Linked DNA regions of Bombyx mori. The protein of the gene in region 1 purifies or fractionates together with the protein of each later gene. This does not show direct contact. Links are inferred from orthologs where the notes say so. Each region holds a gene or a part of one and is shown in the gene's direction. Other genes may lie near its edges.

Region 1 (6,795 bases):
CAAGCGGAACGAAATGGAACCAATGCACAAAATATAGCTGATTGCCAAGTTCTACAGAGATACATCTACCTCGGTCTACTATCTCAATAATTAAAGGATCTAGTGACGAGATTAAGCGACGGTGCGCCATCATCAAGTCGGCAGTCAAACAGCTGGGAAAGATACAGAAAGATAGGAGGATTACCAAGAAAGCTAAGGTCAGATTAATGAAATGTCTTAAGTTTGTAATATTTCTCTAATAGACTTCTATATCAACTAAACCAAATACTTTTAAGTTTTAAATATTGATTTTCTTTCATAGTTTTTATTTACTCATACTGGCCGTTTTCCAATTACAGCACAAGAGCGCATTATGCGGCATAATGCTCAACTAAGCTCTGTAATTGGAAAACTACCATTAAGTAATGGTTAATTACAGAGCATAATGTGACTCAGTGACGCACAATGCCGAATTATGCTGAAGCTTAGTTGAGCATTATGCCGCATAATGCGCTCTTGTGCTGTAATTGGAAAACAGCCACTTTACGCCTTAAGCTTAACAATCTTAACAAATAAATCTCATCTCTAGTCTCGAAACCTTTTCTATTTTTTTAAGTGATTTTATAACCTGGTAACTAAGACCTTTAGGTCAAATTTTATTTTTATTTTAATGAAAACTGCACTACATAATATATGAAAAATGATAATACGAAGTGAAATGAAGTTGATTAATATGAAACATGGCATGAAAAGAAATGATATTAAATGAAATGAGATGCGATGATATGGGATATAAATATAATCTCAGTAAAATGGTGGTTATTTACTGAGACTTTTTCGGTGGACTTTTTGGAGGATCCTGAGAAGTTACGTCCAGTGGCTTTGTTTTCTTTTCCCATATTTGTGCACTTTTACAGATACTAAACAGTTAATAAACCTCCGTTATTACTAGGAGTGGGTAATATCGGTTTTGCCGCGTATCGAATCGTATCTATATATCGAGGATTAATATCGGATATTGAATCTATATATTTTCTGAATCTATATATTGATGGATGCTAGTAGATTTTCTCGATTCATGATATTTGAGATTTGAAACGATACGCTGATATAATATCGTAGTAGATATAGATTTAAGTCAACGTTATACGGTTGGTTTTCTGATATCAATTTATAATATGATTTTAAAGTAATAAAAAGAACATGAAAATAAAAATATCAAAAAAACTTTCCTTCATGCTTTTATCAGGCTTAGCTACTAGGACTGGCTACATTATTTTCAGTTTTTAGTATTTTGTATCTTAATTTAAAATTACAAAATATACCAAAAGAGTGTAGATTTCAAAAGTTTAATACAAATACAAGAAATAAACTAAATTATTTGGATTCAACTAAAAATAGAAAAATGTGTACTTTAAAAATCAAACACAAAAAACTTTTAAGTATTTATAAACACTTGTCCAAAAATTGTAGTTCAAGGTCAAAGCGCGTGAAATTAAATTCAACGATGCAAATAGGCTATACTGCATTCAAGTTAGGGTTGAAAATTGAAACTTCTTTCCTAAATTGTATCCTGCTGATACGCTAAGAATAATCTACAGACATATGGACTTAAATATAAGGTTTACAATTGTATGGATAATGCCTGTTTCTGTTTCATTCATCACATGATATCCCTATCGTGCGCTCACTCACTCTGGCCGGTTCGATACGAACCAAACGAATATTGCCGATATTCACGAATCGGTACGATATGCCGATGCGCATCACATCGAGTAATATCGTGTATCGGCTGATATCGTTATATAGATTTCGATTCACGAATCGGTACGATATGCCGATGCGCATCACATCGAGCAATATCGTGTATCGGCCGATATCGATATATAGATTTCGTGCGGGGCGATATCGGATTCAACGATATTGCTGCGATATATAGATATTGAATCTAGATACGATTTATATCGCCCACTCCTAGTTATTACCAGTGGTCGGAGTAGGTAGATTGATTTTACTTACGTCAAGAGATACTTGCGTCAAGAGATTATAATATGGACATGCCATTTTATCCATAATGATTATTTTTTTAAATTGAAAAAAAATATGTTTTTAATCCTCATCGGATACAATTTCTATATTTAAAAATATAGAATATATATGCTTTAAAAAGGCCTAAAACATACTTACATAAGAAAATTATTAAAGCTTACCTGAACCAAAATAACATGAAGTAGAGATCCAATCTAAAAACAAATCGATGTCCATAGATACAAGCCAAATTCATCGTTTTAAGAAGGTACAAGAAATCAGTCAAGAAGCCAGGGTGAGATTATTATTTACCCAACACTGAAATTTCACAAATTAGAAGCGCACTACGAACCGAGGTAAGCGAGTGAGATGCCTGAAACACAGCGTGCGCGCATCGTTTTTTCTAACAAACACCCAATGAGTCACACAGGTTGTCTAAGTTTTGTCTCATACTAACAAGCGTCATTTCTAATTCAACAGAAAGGGACAAAATACGGTGTAACTATTCCAAGGTGCTTTTGTATAAAATAAAATACTGATATTATTAATACGTTTTTCACCTTAAACACAGATTCATGCTTCAAAATTCCGGAACAAATATCACAAAAATATGAAGTTCCGGTATTTTGGAGGCCTATCCATATTGTCCTCTACGTTTGACGTCAACAACCTTAAATCAATCTACCTACTCCGACCTCTGGTTATTACATATTTAAACCTGAAGAAACACTAAATAGACAAAATAAAACTAATCACGCAACTTCACTCCCCGCGTTTCCGCCTAAAAGTCCAAACAGTTTTCTATGAGAAATGGAGTTCATTTTCCATAGGTTAGGAAGAGGTAGTATGTAACTACCTATGCATAAAATCGGACATAGTCTGTGTTTACGAAAAAAACTCACGCTACCTATCTAATAAATCATCGATAGAAGAGAAAATAATTTGATTTCATTGTCCGTAAAGTTGCATAAATGTCTACAATCTTCTAAAAATGGATAAAATACCAAGAACTCATGAAGGTAAGGTTGTCTTCTAACATATTGATTTGCGTACAATAACAGCCATTTTATTATTATTCTAAATGTGCTTGCTTAAAAGTGTAGCTTGAAAGGTTTTTCTGTAATTTACTCAATGTTATAGCCATCAGATATCAAATAACATATGATTTCACGCTTAAGTCCCCTTAAGCTTGCTTGAAATCCTTTTACCATAAAACTTCTAGTTTTTGGGTCACTTCTGTAATATTTATCTTTTCTAAATTTGAAAAGTTTTGTTTGATCTATCAGTGGCTTTAAGTTAAGGCAATAACAAAATTAGACGCTAAACAATTTATTTATTTAATATTTTATAACTATCGATTCAATTTGTGAAGGAATGATCACACTTAGGAATTTTCGATTTGTCCTGACTAGTTCATTTACATTGGCTGACCTATGAACTCTCATTAATGTTAAATGCTTAAATAATATTTAAATTGCATTGATAATTTTAGCCATTGAAGCACAAATAAAAGAAATACAATCAAAAAAAACTGAAGCACCAGAAAATGGTTCCAACAAAGGCGTGTCTCTCGGCGAGACTTACTATGACAGCGATATATATGATAGCACAGGCCAAGGAGGCAAGTCCAGATATGACGGATATGTGACATCAATTGCTGCTAATGACGAAGTAGAAGATGATGACCTCGAAAATGTTCCTATAACTCAGAAAAGGCCAGGATATACAGCACCTGCTTCACTGTTGAATGACATTGCACAAGTATGTTGAAATGAATTGTTAACTGCTATACATAAATTTTTGTTAAAAATGTCATCTAAAAATATTGTTTTAGAGTGATAAAGAATTCGATCCTTTTGCTGACAAACGAAGACCAACTATCGCTGATAGAGAGGATGAATATCGACAAAAGAGGCGCAGGATGATTATATCACCTGAAAGAAATGATCCTTTTGCAGAAGGTTGGCTAATTTTAATTTTTTTCATTAATCTTCAACAATTGTACACACGCTCACAGATACACACCACACACAATACTATAATACAATTTATCAAAACTACTATTCTGATTTCCAATCTTACACTTCTTTCTCATGTAAGGTTGACATTAGGTAAATACTTAGGCAGATTAAATCAGGTTAAAATATGCAGTGCCTATTCTAACTAGTGGCAAAATATATAGACGTGAGAAAGCAGAAATGTTGTAACTTGCACTTTGCACTAAATCACTTTGTACCATATCTAATATATAAAATTCTCGTGTCACAATGTTCGTTCCCATACTCCTCCGAAACCGCTTGACCGATTCTCATGAATTTTTTTATGCATATTTAGTAAGCTTTAGAATCGGCTACTATCTATTTTTCATACCCCTAAGTGATTAGGGTTGTCCACCCCTAACATATTTTTTTTATTTTGACTTTTTTTTTGTTATAATGAGGTATTATGTGGTTAAATGAGGTTTTGTTATTTTTATTATATATTCCCTCATCATTCACAGCACTACATACCTCTTTCACTCATTTACCACATCCTTACACACTTACAATAAGTTAGTTTTTTTTTCTACACTAGAAATTCTCTAGAAATGTTATATATGGCAAAACAATGTTTGCCGGGTCAGCTAGTTGTATTATATATGTAAGACTCTGATATAAAGTTGGGTTTTTCAAGTTATGACAATTCCACTTTCTTCAGTCTATATCTTTAAGTAAAACTTTACAATAAAATATATTGGTATCTTACACACATATCTATAAGCACTAGTAATCACTAACCATTAGGCAAGCACCATTCTGGGTCTGCTATTGTAATGTTAGAATTTTTTAGATAGGAACCGTTTCACTCCTATGGGTAACATAATATGTATAGTCTTATATTATACATACATAAATGTTCTTTCTATTCATAGTACCTTTTGGCCATTGGTGCAAATAATTTGATGCAAACAATAAAAATTAATTAATTACTTATATTTGGCATTTTTAATCCTTCCTTAAAATTTAGAGATGAAGAGAGTTAATATTGTTTCATTTACACTCATTCAATTACATTAATTTTCACAGTCAACATTTTTAAACACTACATGTGCCTTTTAAGCATCAGGGGAAGGTAATTTTTTAAGTATTATAATTTGAAAAATGGTTAGCTTCACTTGTCATATCCAGTATAGATACACACACACACAACATGTCTACTAATCTTAACATTTACTTCAGGTGGGAAAACTCCTGATGTCGGATCGAGGACATACACTGATATAATGAAAGAGCAGTATCTTCTTGCTGAAGAAACAGAAGTGAGTTCAATTTGTTTCCAGAGTTTAAGTATTTTATAGAAACAACTATACATCTTGCTTTTGCAGTAACCCTTAGCATCATATGGGTAATTTTGAAAGTAAATTATGAATGGAATTGATAATTCTAGGAATGGAAATGTTAATACTAATAGTAATACTAGGAACTCTAAATTGCCTAATATCAATCATAATTATTATTACTAATTAAAACGAATTTCTTTACAGCTCAGAAAGAAACTGTTAGAGAAAGCTAGGGAAGGAACTCTCAAACCAGTACCACAATCTAATGGAGAATCCATAAAACCAGCAGCAAAACGCAAAGGTAGATGGGATCAAAGTTCTGAAGAAACACCAGTTGTTAAGAAAACAGTATCAACTACACCAAGCTCACAGACAACTCCGTCTTGGGATGCTGAGGTATTTAATAGATAATTTAGGTTTTAAAAATATGATTTTAGATTGATTGAACCAATCAATCGAGTAGTATTTAAAAAACTTGATGACATATATTATTCTATTGGTAGAGAGGCACATGGGAAGAAACTCCGGGAGCAGGTCGGGGCGGCGAGACGCCCGGTGCCACGCCATCGGCACGTGTTTGGGATGCCACACCAGGACATATCACTCCTGGACACGCCACTCCGGGGCGCGAAACTCCGGCTCATCACGCTTCTCGCAGAAATCGCTGGGATGAAACACCAAAAACAGATAGAGGTTCTAAATATTTTATTAGAAAATGCTCGTCTTATTATCTCGTAAGAATAGATATCATCACCCTGCTTATCTCTGCCGCGAAGTAGTAATGCGTTCCGGTTTCATGGGGGGCTAGAGCAGCCATTTTGCTATAGAATTGAGATTAAGAACTCATGTCTCAAGGTGGGCCACCATCCACGGCATATACGTCGTTCATATAGGTAGGCCGTGAGATCCTCAATATGTCCAAGTAACAAAATTTATAATTACACTAATATATTAAAACACTTTTTGGAAAACTACCTTATGATACCCCATTTTGATGTTGCTCATTTCAAATGCAGTCCAATAAACGTAAATTCATAATGTACTGAAACAAAATAATTCAATACCACTTCGTAAAGACTATCACTGTTAAGTTAAAAATCTTAATATTAATTAACCCAATAAAACCGTTCATATACTACCCATACGACATTTATAGGCCTCATATATGGAATAAAATCTGGATTGGAAATTGCAGAAGTAGATTTCACAGACCTATATTTGCTTATTAGCGACTAATGAAACACGGAATGGCTCCGTCCTGGCTGTCGCTAAATCTATTAGAAGTACCCTATGTGAAATTACTCGCGCGCCACACGATGTTTGTTTCTCACACTACGACAAACAGTACAACTACAAATCCAGATAAAACATACGCGAATTTATAACTTCACAATCACTTACGTATTAGATTTTTACAATGTTTTTTTTTTATATTTTGCATTAGGTAACCCTTTGCGAGACTAATCTAA
Region 2 (5,909 bases), on another chromosome or scaffold:
AAATGACATTATTCAACAAATATATTATTATATTACATTTTTAAAACACTAATATTTCATTGCAAAAAGCAAACATTTATAAAAACATTTATGTTTCATCATTTCAACATTTATGTAAACTTTATCAACTTCAACGTAATTTTTCCCTTATCACTGCATGTGTTTGTAACATAATTCTAAATTGAAATCACAACTTCACATTATAACACTGTTGGCAATGTACATGACACATACCATATTGTTTTAGTGATGAGCTGGAAAAACTTTTTGTTCACCATTTTTTTAAGACATTTCGAAAATAATGTTTTTTTTAAATTAAATAAATTTAGCAGTTTAAAATGTATATGCACTGTACACATCTGTTTAGCAATTATCTTGTTTTGTATCTCAACACTGATAATGGATCTCTCAGTTCTGATAACTGATAACTAGGTGACATTCAGACAGATTTCTGATTGCATTGAATTGACACAACCATAAGTATTATAGTGCTCAATTTTAAAAAAGAATTTCTCAGTAAATTTTTATTAGTTTTAAAAATGCAAGTGTGCCCAAAAATTAAGTTAAATTAAAATTAAAAAAGTATTTGTTAACCATAATTATTCATAAATAATACTAATTTAAATTAATTAATTCATCAATCGAACCTGTCAGCTAAAGCTTTTGCAATCATTTCCTTTCTTTTCTTATTCTGTTCTTCCATAATCTTCTGTTTGAGTTGCAATTCTCCTAACTTCACTTTGTGAGAGGCCAGTTCATGTTCTGTATATTGAAAATCAACACCTCTCACTATGTCCGGAGCAGTACTACTCCTTCTACTACTTGTCATATCACTCTTGTCTGCTTCGATAGTATCTACTTGTACTTCATCATTTCCCTCTACATTATTTTGCAAAATAACTTGATTTTGTTTGTCCTCCTCCATTTTAGCATTTTTGGAGGGTGACGTTGGTGTTTTTAAACTAAGCTTACATTTATCAAAATCTATGCTGTCTATTCCATCGTCTGAATCCTGTTTTTGATTAATGGCTGTCTTATATTCATATGGCTTGGTTTTCATTGATAATTTAACTCGTTTTATATTAGAATTTTTTATGTACTCTGTAATTAAAATGGTAGTTGTTATTAAATGTAGACTGTCTCATAGGCAGTAAAAATTGTTGCATTACACACACCATTAATAATAAGGTTGTGCAAGGCACTGATATAGGCCAATCCAATTGGTGGATTATATGTTACTGAAGTAGAAATTATAGATATCTAGTAGATACGACTATGCTTCACTGACATTTGTAATAAAGAAGCAAATTTGTGATCAATTTTACTTTTTTTTTACTTTAATTTTGCTTGCACAATTTGGCTTCAGTGACTTTTATCATTTATATTTTTTCTTGAAACTCTTAGAATCATTTGGCAATCATTATTATTTAGAATATAGCTAATTTTCTTGAAGAAGCTTTGATTTATACCCAAAAATCGTTCTTAGATCTACTTATATATGTTGAGATATTAATATTTCAAATTCTAATCGCATGCGCTACTATTTAAAACTCTGAATAAGCGTTCAGTTATTGATATGCTTAAAAAAAGTATATTTCAAGCTCCATACGTACTGTTTTTACTCTCATCGGCAGTTTCGCCAGATTTAATTCTTTCCAAGTCATCTTCACTAAAACCTGTAAATTGTGACATGTTTTATTTGTTTTTACATAGATATGTCAGGGTTATGTTTTTCATATAAGGTGCATTAATGTAAAAAATTGCAAAACTCATAGATAGATCGTAAACGTAAAAATCTATATTTTCATTGATTCAACACTGATTCACATCAAATTTTTACTATTCTGCAACACTACTTTGACATTGACTATTTGACGTTATTGGAACTTTTTTAATCACGTTAGATTGAATTCTGGTCTTTTAAGCCAAAAACCCATTGAAATAGTGTTTCGCCCATTTAATTATTCGAATCCATTTAACATTTATTTTAACAATATGTACATTTTGTCTTTAAAATGGTTTGGTGTTATAGCTCTACTCTCAGCATAAGCACTTCAACACACAATGTTGAAGTTCTCGTTTTCTATTCCCAAAATAGTTTTATAAAAAAACCGACTCTACTTTCAATTATTTGATGGTTTTTAGTTAGGCCAAAGATCGTTCATACCATCTTTAATTAAACAAACTTATCTAAATGTTTTTATTGCTAATATATAGTTTTATGGAAGCTTTTCACATATTTTTTCTTCTCTTCACATTTTATCAATAGCGAATTCCTCCAAATACGTTGAGAACTTTCAGCTTAGGTGTGTCGTTTTAGTCGCTACAAGCCCTTCTCTATTAGTTAAACATATTTGAAAGTGTAAAAGATTGTGGAAATATAACAAAATCACTGGACCTGACTTCTCAGGACTTTATGTTTATATAAATTAAAGAAAATAATTACCATTTTCTGTAGTTTTTTTTTCAACTGGGCTTCAATAATAATAAGATGAAATACATACTATTATTAATTTTTTACTACATTTTTTTAAAGGGATTTTATGACCTGGACTAACTAAAACTTTTAGGTCAAGTCTTATTTTAATTTTATGTTACGTAACTTTTTTATATGAAAATTATAGAAATGAAATGAAGTTGAATAATATGAAACATGGCATGAAGTGAAATGAAAACGAAATGAAATGAAATGAGATGAGATGATATGGGATGAAGTATAATCTCAGTAAAATGGTGATCATTTACTGAGACTTTTTCAGTGGACTTTTTGGAAGATCTCGAGAACTTACGTTCAGTGGCTTTGTTTCGTTTTCCCACATTTGTGCACTTTCACAGTTACAGTTAAGCAGTTAATAAGCCACCGTTATTACACATTTAAACCTGAAGAAAGACTAATTAGACAAAATAAAACAAACCACTCCTCGCGTTCCCGCCGAAAAGTCCTAGAAAGAACTAATTATAATAAATTTTAAACTACCTGTGTTTTATCTATGGTGGTGTATTATCTATGAGTAGCTGATGGCCGTGTTGCAAATTCAATGCTTTCATAAATAAAAAATAAAAAAATATCTATGAGTAGAAATTAGCGTCGAACTCGAAGCGAAGCCGATACATTTTGAGGTTATATTTTGTATTTCTTGTTAGCCGATATTAAAGTAAGTACTGATGTTTCTTAAATAAGCAATGAAAACAATAAAGGTGGTTTGAAAATGAATTAACATCCAATTTACTTTTTAGAACCTGCAAAAATGGCGGCTGCTATGCCAATAAATCCCAAACCATTTCTTAATAGTCTAACGGGTAAATCCGTGCTAGTTAAATTAAAATGGGGTCATGAATACAAAGGTTTGTTAGTATCAACAGATGGCTACATGAATTTGCAACTTGCTAATACTGAAGAACTTGTCGATGGAACTTGTACAGGTTAGTATTTAAGTGAACAACTTTAAGTAATCACGAAAACATATTAAAGCAAGAGATTAAGATCTACTGGTAGTGGACCTGGACCAAAATTGAATTAAAAATGAGACGTTCATTGTTTGTTTGGTCTATTATGAGTACACTATTCTGCACCCATTTCGACTTCAAAGCTTTCAAGCATTCTGCTTTGAAGAGTAGATTTAATATTCATATTGTAATAAACTTATAAATTCTAGAAGCCACTTAACACTAAATGTCATGGGGTTCATTTGCCCTTTTAAAGAAAAAAAAAGTACTTGCTACAAAGAATGCACAAAATCAATAAATTTCATAACAAGAGACAACTTGACACTTACAAGATTCCAAACCAAACTTTTTGGTTGTGAATAGTTTTGTGAATTTAATTAATTTAAATTAGTAAATAAAATTTAGAAATCAAATCTTAACATTTAAATATTTTTTTTTATATTTTTTTTTAAGAATCTTTTTTATTGTAATTCAGTCCATGCTACATCAAACTTAATGAAGTCATATCAGCAGAGTTCTGTAAAGCTTTAACGGCGTTTGTTTTGAATACTAGTTCAGTTAGTTCTGTTAGTCCATACATACAAAACACTAAATTAAGAACCCTATTAATTTAAGTATTGGGTTTTATTTCCAGGTAATTTAGGTGAAGTTTTAATAAGATGCAATAATGTCTTGTATGTAAGAGGAGCTGATGAAGAAGATGAAGAAGGAGAAATGAAAGAATAATTAGTAATTATTACATAAGTTAGAATAAGGAATTATCTTAAGAATAACAGGCAAAAGGGAAATTTTAAGCAAAAAAATAGAAATTTCATATTACTCTGTTAGCAGTAAAATTACCTTAGGTATATATCCCGAAATACTAATGATTGAGGAGAAAAATGTTAATTGGAACTATTGTTGTATACAATGTTTAAATGAAACAACTTTAATACTTTTTTTTTTTTAATAACTATGTCTGAAACAACCTCTTCAGCATGAATTCCATAACTTGTATAATTAATTATAAGTAAATTTTCACCATAACCTTGTTTTATTTTCTCAACACTAACTTTACAAGAAAAGGTTTGCGATTTATATTGTCCTTGCAAAAAATGAGCATGTGAAAACAGGGAAATATATTGAAATCTAATGATCTTCAATGTATTTTACCCCATTCCTTCTTGCTCTTTTTTGGCCTTTGGGTATTAGATTCCAAATTCGTTTAAAAACACAACCTCATTCGCAAAAACAATTTTCATTTAAAAAAACTTTGGTTCTCATTCTGGTTATGATTTGAAACTAAAAAGTAAATAATACAACCTTATTTTAATATAGTTAAAGCTCTAGAAGTGACTAAAAAGAGATGCATATTATTTTATAGTATCTAGTCTGTGAGAGAACGAGATAGAAAACTCCTACAGGTTACACTTCTACATTTTGCGAATTGCTGCACACTTTGTATTGCTCTGGATGAAGAAAAAAGCTGACTGCCTACTTGGTATTAAGTAGTTGCCATAGCCCACTACATAAATCATCACTCATCTTAAGCCTTGATGCATGAGGTACAGAATGCAGGATAGTGATATTATCTCATTTATGCTTATCCTGCATTCCACTTAGAATTACGAACTTATAAACATTGCCCATTCGAATTTGAACGCCTACAGGATAAGCTATTGATTGTGGAAGTCGGTGAACAAGCATTAGAACATATTTAGAGCAGACCTAAAGACAGGTCACAAACTAATGTCCTACATTAGTCTATCGTGCACGGATGACTGAAATTCTTATAGTCCATTTCGCGAGACAATAGTACTCTTAATGTCAGGGCAATACCAAAAAAAAAATTTTGGTTAACTGTAAAGTCGGTTTACGGACGATAGTTTTACACGTTAAAGTCAGTAGGAGAACTATTCGAACTGCTAGTTCTGACGTCACGCGACATAAATGTGTCACAAGCCAACACTTGGGTCGACTCTGGTCACCGTCCTCGTCGAACCCGTCGCTTGCGACGAAGGGCTCGACGAGCGAATTAACCCATAGACACAGCCCACTGAGTTTCTCGCCGGATCTTCTCAGTGGGTCGCGTTTCCGATCCGGTGGTAGATTCTGCGAAGCACTGCTCTTGCTAGGGTCAGTGTTAGCAACTCTCCGGTTGAGCCCCGTGAGCTCACCTACAAACCTTAGGGTGAAGCTGAAATAGCCTCTCATGGCTATCAGCATAGGTAGGGAAAAAAAAGGGCCGATCGTGCCTCTATCGCATGTTCCGTGCTCTCGCTTGCACGCTCAGGCGGAACGTGACATTTTTTCGTGCGTGTAGCCAATACTTATCGATTAATCACGTCAAAATGCTATCCCTCTGTCTTGTATAAGTATTTGTTAAAATGTGAGTGGGTAACATAATAAAACCACTGTAATGAATAAAATGGTTTTATCAGATTTTTCAAAAAATCCGCCTAAGACTCGGCACAAGATGATAC
Region 3 (5,733 bases), on another chromosome or scaffold:
CTCATCCTTGACCAAAACAATTAACTGCAATATCAATAAAGTTTTTATTTGTGTACCTGTGCTTATAAAAGGTTCATGTGGTATATCAGCATATTGTTGGTGATGATCAACATTTCCAACCAATGCTCGATCCATTCTGGCACCAATATATGAACTACGATATTCTGCTGGTATGTCGAAAAGTTCTTCAGGATCTTTTAGTTTATTCTCCAGACCTTTAGACATATATTTTAAATATGGCATCAAATCCACAAGTATTTTCGTAATTAGACTAAACATTATATGCATATATTACCTTTTTGTAGCAAAGGGTTCACCCAAGTAAACATCAACTTTGAAAAAAAGCTGTTGCCCTGCATAGCTGTACCAAGAACATCATCATCTACATGGGGTATCAGTGGAGTGTACTCGCTCTATTAAAACAGATATTTAAAATACATTTATTTGCCTTGTCAGTACTCTAAATACACAAAACTGATATAAATTTATACTTACATGAGAGTGTTGGGAGCCTACTAAGCATGGCGAGTAAAATGTTGGTCGTGAGTAATTTGAAGGAATCAGAGTTAAAAAATACAGTACGTGACAACATAATGCAGCTGTATTGAAACCTGTTTGTGAACCAGAAATGATGTTGCTACGGAGAGCTATCAGGTTTAAAAGAACTGTACAGCACCATAAAAATAATTGCATTACTGGACCTCGAGAGCTACGCCCAAGACGGTGTTTCAATGCTAAAACATATCCAAAGTGCACCAGCCATGCTAAACAGGATGAACCAGCAGCAAAATAGTCTACTGGATATAGAGTGAAGTCAGGTTTGGTAGTAAATATATATATTTCTATGATCGGTATGAAGGCTAAGCCTAAAACAACAAAACTTCGAAATATTATGGCACGTTCTTGAGTTTTTTCTCGTATCACCCAATCTTTTCGATATCCAACAAAATACCCTGATACTATAGCTATTATAAAGTACACTGGTACTTGTAAGAATAGCTCTTGAAAACACACGCTGAAGTCTTTCGTGGCATCATTCCATGGATGAAGCCCTCCAGGCCCGCACATATCTTCCCATTTCCAATTTATATTCAATATAAAAGACATTCTGGTCTTCTATTATCTCTACGATGTTCCGCAATAAGTCACAAGGGCACTGTTATAAGATTCTACTATTTAATTAGAAAGGGTAAGTATGTTCTTTGTAGATTTATAAATAAAACACAATGAAACACGCAACTAATAACCATTTTTCATGTTTCGTCTTTCTATTGTTGATAATTATTGTATTTCTACTGTACGTATCGTAAGTTATCAGTTTACTGTTTAATTTTTATCTTTTTCCTTTTATTTTGAATAATATTTGTTGATTTGAACAAGCACTAGTTTACTTCTCATTGATTTGATGTTAAAAAGTTCAAAATTAATAAATCATCAAAAATAATCAAAATTCAACAACGATGACACTGATGACATATTAAGTGTATAATCTATGCTGATGACAGTGAAAGCGGAGTAGTTTTTTTAAAGGGATTTTATGACCTCGTAACTAAGACCTTTAAGTCAAGTCTTATTTTAATTTATATTCTTATTTTTATGAAAATGATAACATCGAGTGAAATAAAATGAAATGAAGATTATTAATTTGAGACATTAATCAACTGGGATGAAATTAAATGAAATGAAATGAGATGATATAGGATGAAATATAATCTCAGAAAAGTGGTTGTCATTTACTAACATTTTTTTCAGTGGACTTTATGGAGGATCCCGAGAAGTTATGTCCAGCGGCTTTGTTTCATTTTCCCACATTTGTGCACTTTCACAGATATTAAACAGCTAATAAACCACCGTTATTACACATTTAAACCTGAAGAAACACTAAAAAGACAAAATAAAACAAATCACACAGCTTCACTCCTCGCTTTCCCGCCAAAAAGTCAACATAATAGCAAATAAAAAATAAGACAGATTAGTAAAAACAGACAGTATTATCTAATAGGTTGGGGAAAAAGTATTATCGCATTATAGCATGTATGAATAAGCAGGCAAAGAGCGTGGCTTATACACGCTAGTCTGTCGTAGTTATATTTTTTTTATGTCATTAAAAAGCCGGTGTATCTCTTTTTATTGCTTTTTGGAAGTTTTGACGTCAACTCGATGAATAGCACATTGAGTGAGCGTGAATTTCCGCAGACCTTTTATCTTGAAAAAAAGACAGTTATGTTAGCCACAGTTTTATTCCAATGTCCCAACCATCGTGAACAACGATTATTGACATTTAATACACAAAACAACACCCATTTATATATTATACATCACAATAAACTATTAAAAAAACATTAAAATAAAACTTCAAGTGACGCTTAACTCGGGTTGCTGCCAAAACTCTGATCATTTAAAATAAGAATAGAGTAATGGTAGGCCATTGAGATTTTTACTAATGGAATCATTAACATCTAAAAATATTAAATAATTCATGGTTTTAAGTAATAATTATTATTACAATATATAAATATAGAATTGAACAAAAATAAACTTAAAAGTCTGTGAATTATAACCATTAGCAATTTTTTTTAATTTATTGTTCAAGTCACAGACAACTCTTTCGTTTGGCAGTATATACTTTACTAAAAGGTTTACTATAAGGCTGTATGGGCTAAACCCTTTGCCTATTGACGAATTTAAAAACCATGGCACTTAGTTTTGGGATGTTATCAAATAAGTAATTTATTTTTTTGTAAAACAATGCCAGGGTGAAAGAAATGTTGATACATAAACTAAACAACGTGAAAAAATAAGACATAGTTTTTCAAGTACAAATAGTTTTGACATAAAGTTGGCCCACTTTTGGGCATTGTCCTTTCTATAGTAATGGGATCATGTCTCTACCTACAAGATGGCAAAAAGTTATCGAACAAAATGGTACTTGCATACTTTAGTTAAATGTAAATAAACTATTTTCCTATATTAAAAAATGTTGTGAATTTTCTTACAAAATGCGAAGAAACTTTTCTCCCAACCTATTATGTTACAAATACTAAATAGCTTGTGCTATATATATAATATCTAAGATTTGGCTTTATGGTGTAACACTTTTGCCTTTCCAGTTGGAAAAATAAAACTACAAACTACTACTATTATGCTCTACATAAATAATTATTACTAGAGATTTATTGTTATGACAATGGAAAAAATCAACATTAATTTAAAAAATAAATTCAACGAAAGTGAAGTGAATCCTGTAACTGATATCATTGACTACCTAGTAAGAAGTGCAAATATATCCTTTAAGAATTCCCATGCTAATGAACAACCGGTAAGGACATGTGAGAAACTGCAAATGGCCCTTGAAATTTATAAAAGATCACCTGTAGAATTCCTCATGCAATTCGGAAAATATTTAGCTCCTAATCACATAAAATACTTTGAAAATATCTCTAGCTCCAAAGATCAAACATTTAGGAATTACGTGCACTATTTGAGTGACTATCATTCGGAAACAAGCAGACGCAAGAGGATAAAGAACAGAAGATATAAGGCATTACAAAAAATGAAGATTAAAACTGATTATTTTAGTGAAAAACAAATGATGTACAGAAATCCTCTTTTATATGAACAGTTGGTTGGGCAATATTTAACAGATGAAGAAATAAAAGAAAGAGATCGAATAACTGAAAACGCCAGTTTTCTTAACTTAATATTGGAAACTGTAGATCACAACCACATGAGAGAGGTGAAGAATGTGCAAATGCTCGAAGAAGGTATTCATGAAACACCAGAAGCTTCTGAATTTTCTTTGAATGATAGTACTAATGAAAACATAAATTTTCAACACAAAAGAAAATGGGGTGAATTCACTACCCCAGATACGAAACCTGACTATATTCCAGAAAACAGAAAACACAGAGTTATTAGTGCTCCAGAAAAGAAGTTATTGTATGATGAGTTCCTTCAAGAAATGTATAGCAGCTTTATAGATGGTAATGATATTGACATTGATTATAAAACTATTGATAATGATGAGCAGTATGATGATTTAGAGCAGGAGTCACAAGATGCAGAAGATAAATATTTTGATTCTGAAACAAATGATGTTGAGAACTTAGAAGAACACATGCACCTTGTAGAGGAATATGGTCAAAGTAAAATAAATAATCTTGAAAAAGATGACCCTCTTGATGTGTTTATGGAGCATATATCTAAGAAGTTTCAACTGAATTAAATGATTGTTTACTAATATGAAAAGTTCAATAATATTAAAGTAATTATAATCTTTAGGTTAATTTCCCAACCAATGTCTTTTCTTTTCTCATAAACCATCAACATTATTATCAGTTAAAGTTTCTGTCTAAGTTCAACTAGTAAAAAATGAGATGAGAGATTATTTCATAAGATGCAAAACACTGCTCATCCACACTATTTTCACATACTTTTTTGTTGTGTACCATCCAATTTTGGACTCTTCTGAGCACTATAACATATATTTCTTTAAATGAGGTTTGAAAAGAATCCTCAGCAGTAGGTAGTGACCAAGCGATGTACCTTTGAAGTCACAAGCATTAGAATGAAAAAAATAATTCGCAATAAAAAGTGATAGTATTAAAATACAGAAAAAAATCAGATCGGTCTGTCTTTAATTTTGAATAAAGACTATTTTTTATATTACTTTGTTATTTGTACTGAACAAAAATTTTTATTTTCATTGCAGTAAGCTTAGGTAAGAGTTTTTGGTTGACAGCAACTTGCCTGCGTAAAATAGCAGAAGCACATAGGAATGGCTAGTACTTATGATCAACAAGATAGGTTAGGAATATTTATTGTGTTCATGTGAAGCAGGGCACCTAGTGTTGAGTGGTTACTGGAATCCAAAGATGTTACAACGGGAATGCCACTACCCACCTTTACAATTTCATTGACAATAGTGTGTCATCCACAGAAATGAATTAAATTAACGTGGCTCTGGTAAGTTTGATCTGAATGGCAGATTGGCTCTCTTTTTTTTTGCCTGTAATATTTCCCTCATGAAATAACTTAATTCCAACATTTATGAATCATAGGGCCAAAATCTAAGACATGTGGGCTCCCATATAATGTTATGACACAAGACAGTTTTTTTTAAAACCTCGTATAGTCATATGCTCATCTGTCAATAAGCGCAATAAAAACAATTGTTCGGGCCTAAAGGATAAGAATTTATCATATCATTCAGATATGATAAGATTTTTTTAATGAAATACATATTGACACATATCCACGAATATTTTCCACAATACAAGCAAACTGGCGAAAATTATAATTTGCTTTACTAATAGAGCGTCGATAAGCGTTCCGGCTGGAAGAATGGGACAGTCATTACACAATTTGGTTTTCTTTAGCTTAACACCAGGTGGGCAGTGAGCACTTTCAACCGTTAATCTAAAAAAAGTAGTTAAAAAGTGTATGTATGCAATTTTAAGTATAAAATATATCACTTATTTACTGGTGGTAGGACTTCTTGTGAGCCCGCACGGGTAGGTACCACCGCCCTGCCTGTTTCTGCTGTGAAGCAGTAATGCGTTCCGGTTTGAAGGGTGGAGCAGCCGTTGTAACTATACTGAGACCTTAGAACTTATATCTCAAGGTGGGTGGCGCATATACGTTGTAGTTGTCTATGGGCTCCAGTAACCACTTAACACCAGGTGGGCTGTGAGCTCGTCCAACCTAAGCAATAAAAAAATTATTAGTGATCTC

What was found. Proteins that work in one complex are often made in the same cells at the same time.
Region 2: the proteins of splicing factor 3B subunit 1 (region 1) and small nuclear ribonucleoprotein protein F purify together in Homo sapiens (co-immunoprecipitation; 3 studies listed by BioGRID and IntAct, counting the BioPlex papers as one, with this or other methods). This does not show direct contact. The link is inferred for Bombyx mori from reciprocal best matches to the Homo sapiens genes SF3B1 and SNRPF.
Region 3: the proteins of splicing factor 3B subunit 1 (region 1) and coiled-coil domain-containing protein 97 purify together in Homo sapiens (co-immunoprecipitation; 4 studies listed by BioGRID and IntAct, counting the BioPlex papers as one, with this or other methods). This does not show direct contact. The link is inferred for Bombyx mori from reciprocal best matches to the Homo sapiens genes SF3B1 and CCDC97.

What each region holds. Positions count from the first base shown.
Region 1 is NC_085116.1:8,398,507-8,405,301, forward strand, and holds the start of splicing factor 3B subunit 1, read left to right. Parts: upstream 1-2,149; 5' UTR 2,150-2,998; coding exon 2,999-3,026; intron 3,027-3,499; coding exon 3,500-3,768; intron 3,769-3,841; coding exon 3,842-3,968; intron 3,969-5,225; coding exon 5,226-5,305; intron 5,306-5,530; coding exon 5,531-5,722; intron 5,723-5,829; coding exon 5,830-6,019; intron 6,020-6,795. UniProt on the Homo sapiens protein: Component of the 17S U2 SnRNP complex of the spliceosome, a large ribonucleoprotein complex that removes introns from transcribed pre-mRNAs.
Region 2 is NC_085117.1:15,789,048-15,794,956, forward strand, and holds small nuclear ribonucleoprotein protein F, read left to right. Parts: upstream 1-3,077; 5' UTR 3,078-3,155; intron 3,156-3,237; 5' UTR 3,238-3,248; coding exon 3,249-3,423; intron 3,424-4,081; coding exon 4,082-4,173; 3' UTR 4,174-4,470; downstream 4,471-5,909. Other genes in the region: RAB6-interacting golgin, read right to left, coding at 648-1,101, 1,614-1,692. UniProt on the Homo sapiens protein: Plays a role in pre-mRNA splicing as a core component of the spliceosomal U1, U2, U4 and U5 small nuclear ribonucleoproteins (snRNPs), the building blocks of the spliceosome.
Region 3 is NC_085118.1:10,064,229-10,069,961, forward strand, and holds coiled-coil domain-containing protein 97, read left to right. Parts: upstream 1-3,099; 5' UTR 3,100-3,181; coding exon 3,182-4,225; 3' UTR 4,226-4,294; downstream 4,295-5,733. Other genes in the region: ATP-binding cassette sub-family C member 10, read right to left, coding at 57-215, 296-413, 496-1,107. UniProt on the Homo sapiens protein: May play a role pre-mRNA splicing through the association with the splicing factor SF3B complex which is involved in branch-site recognition.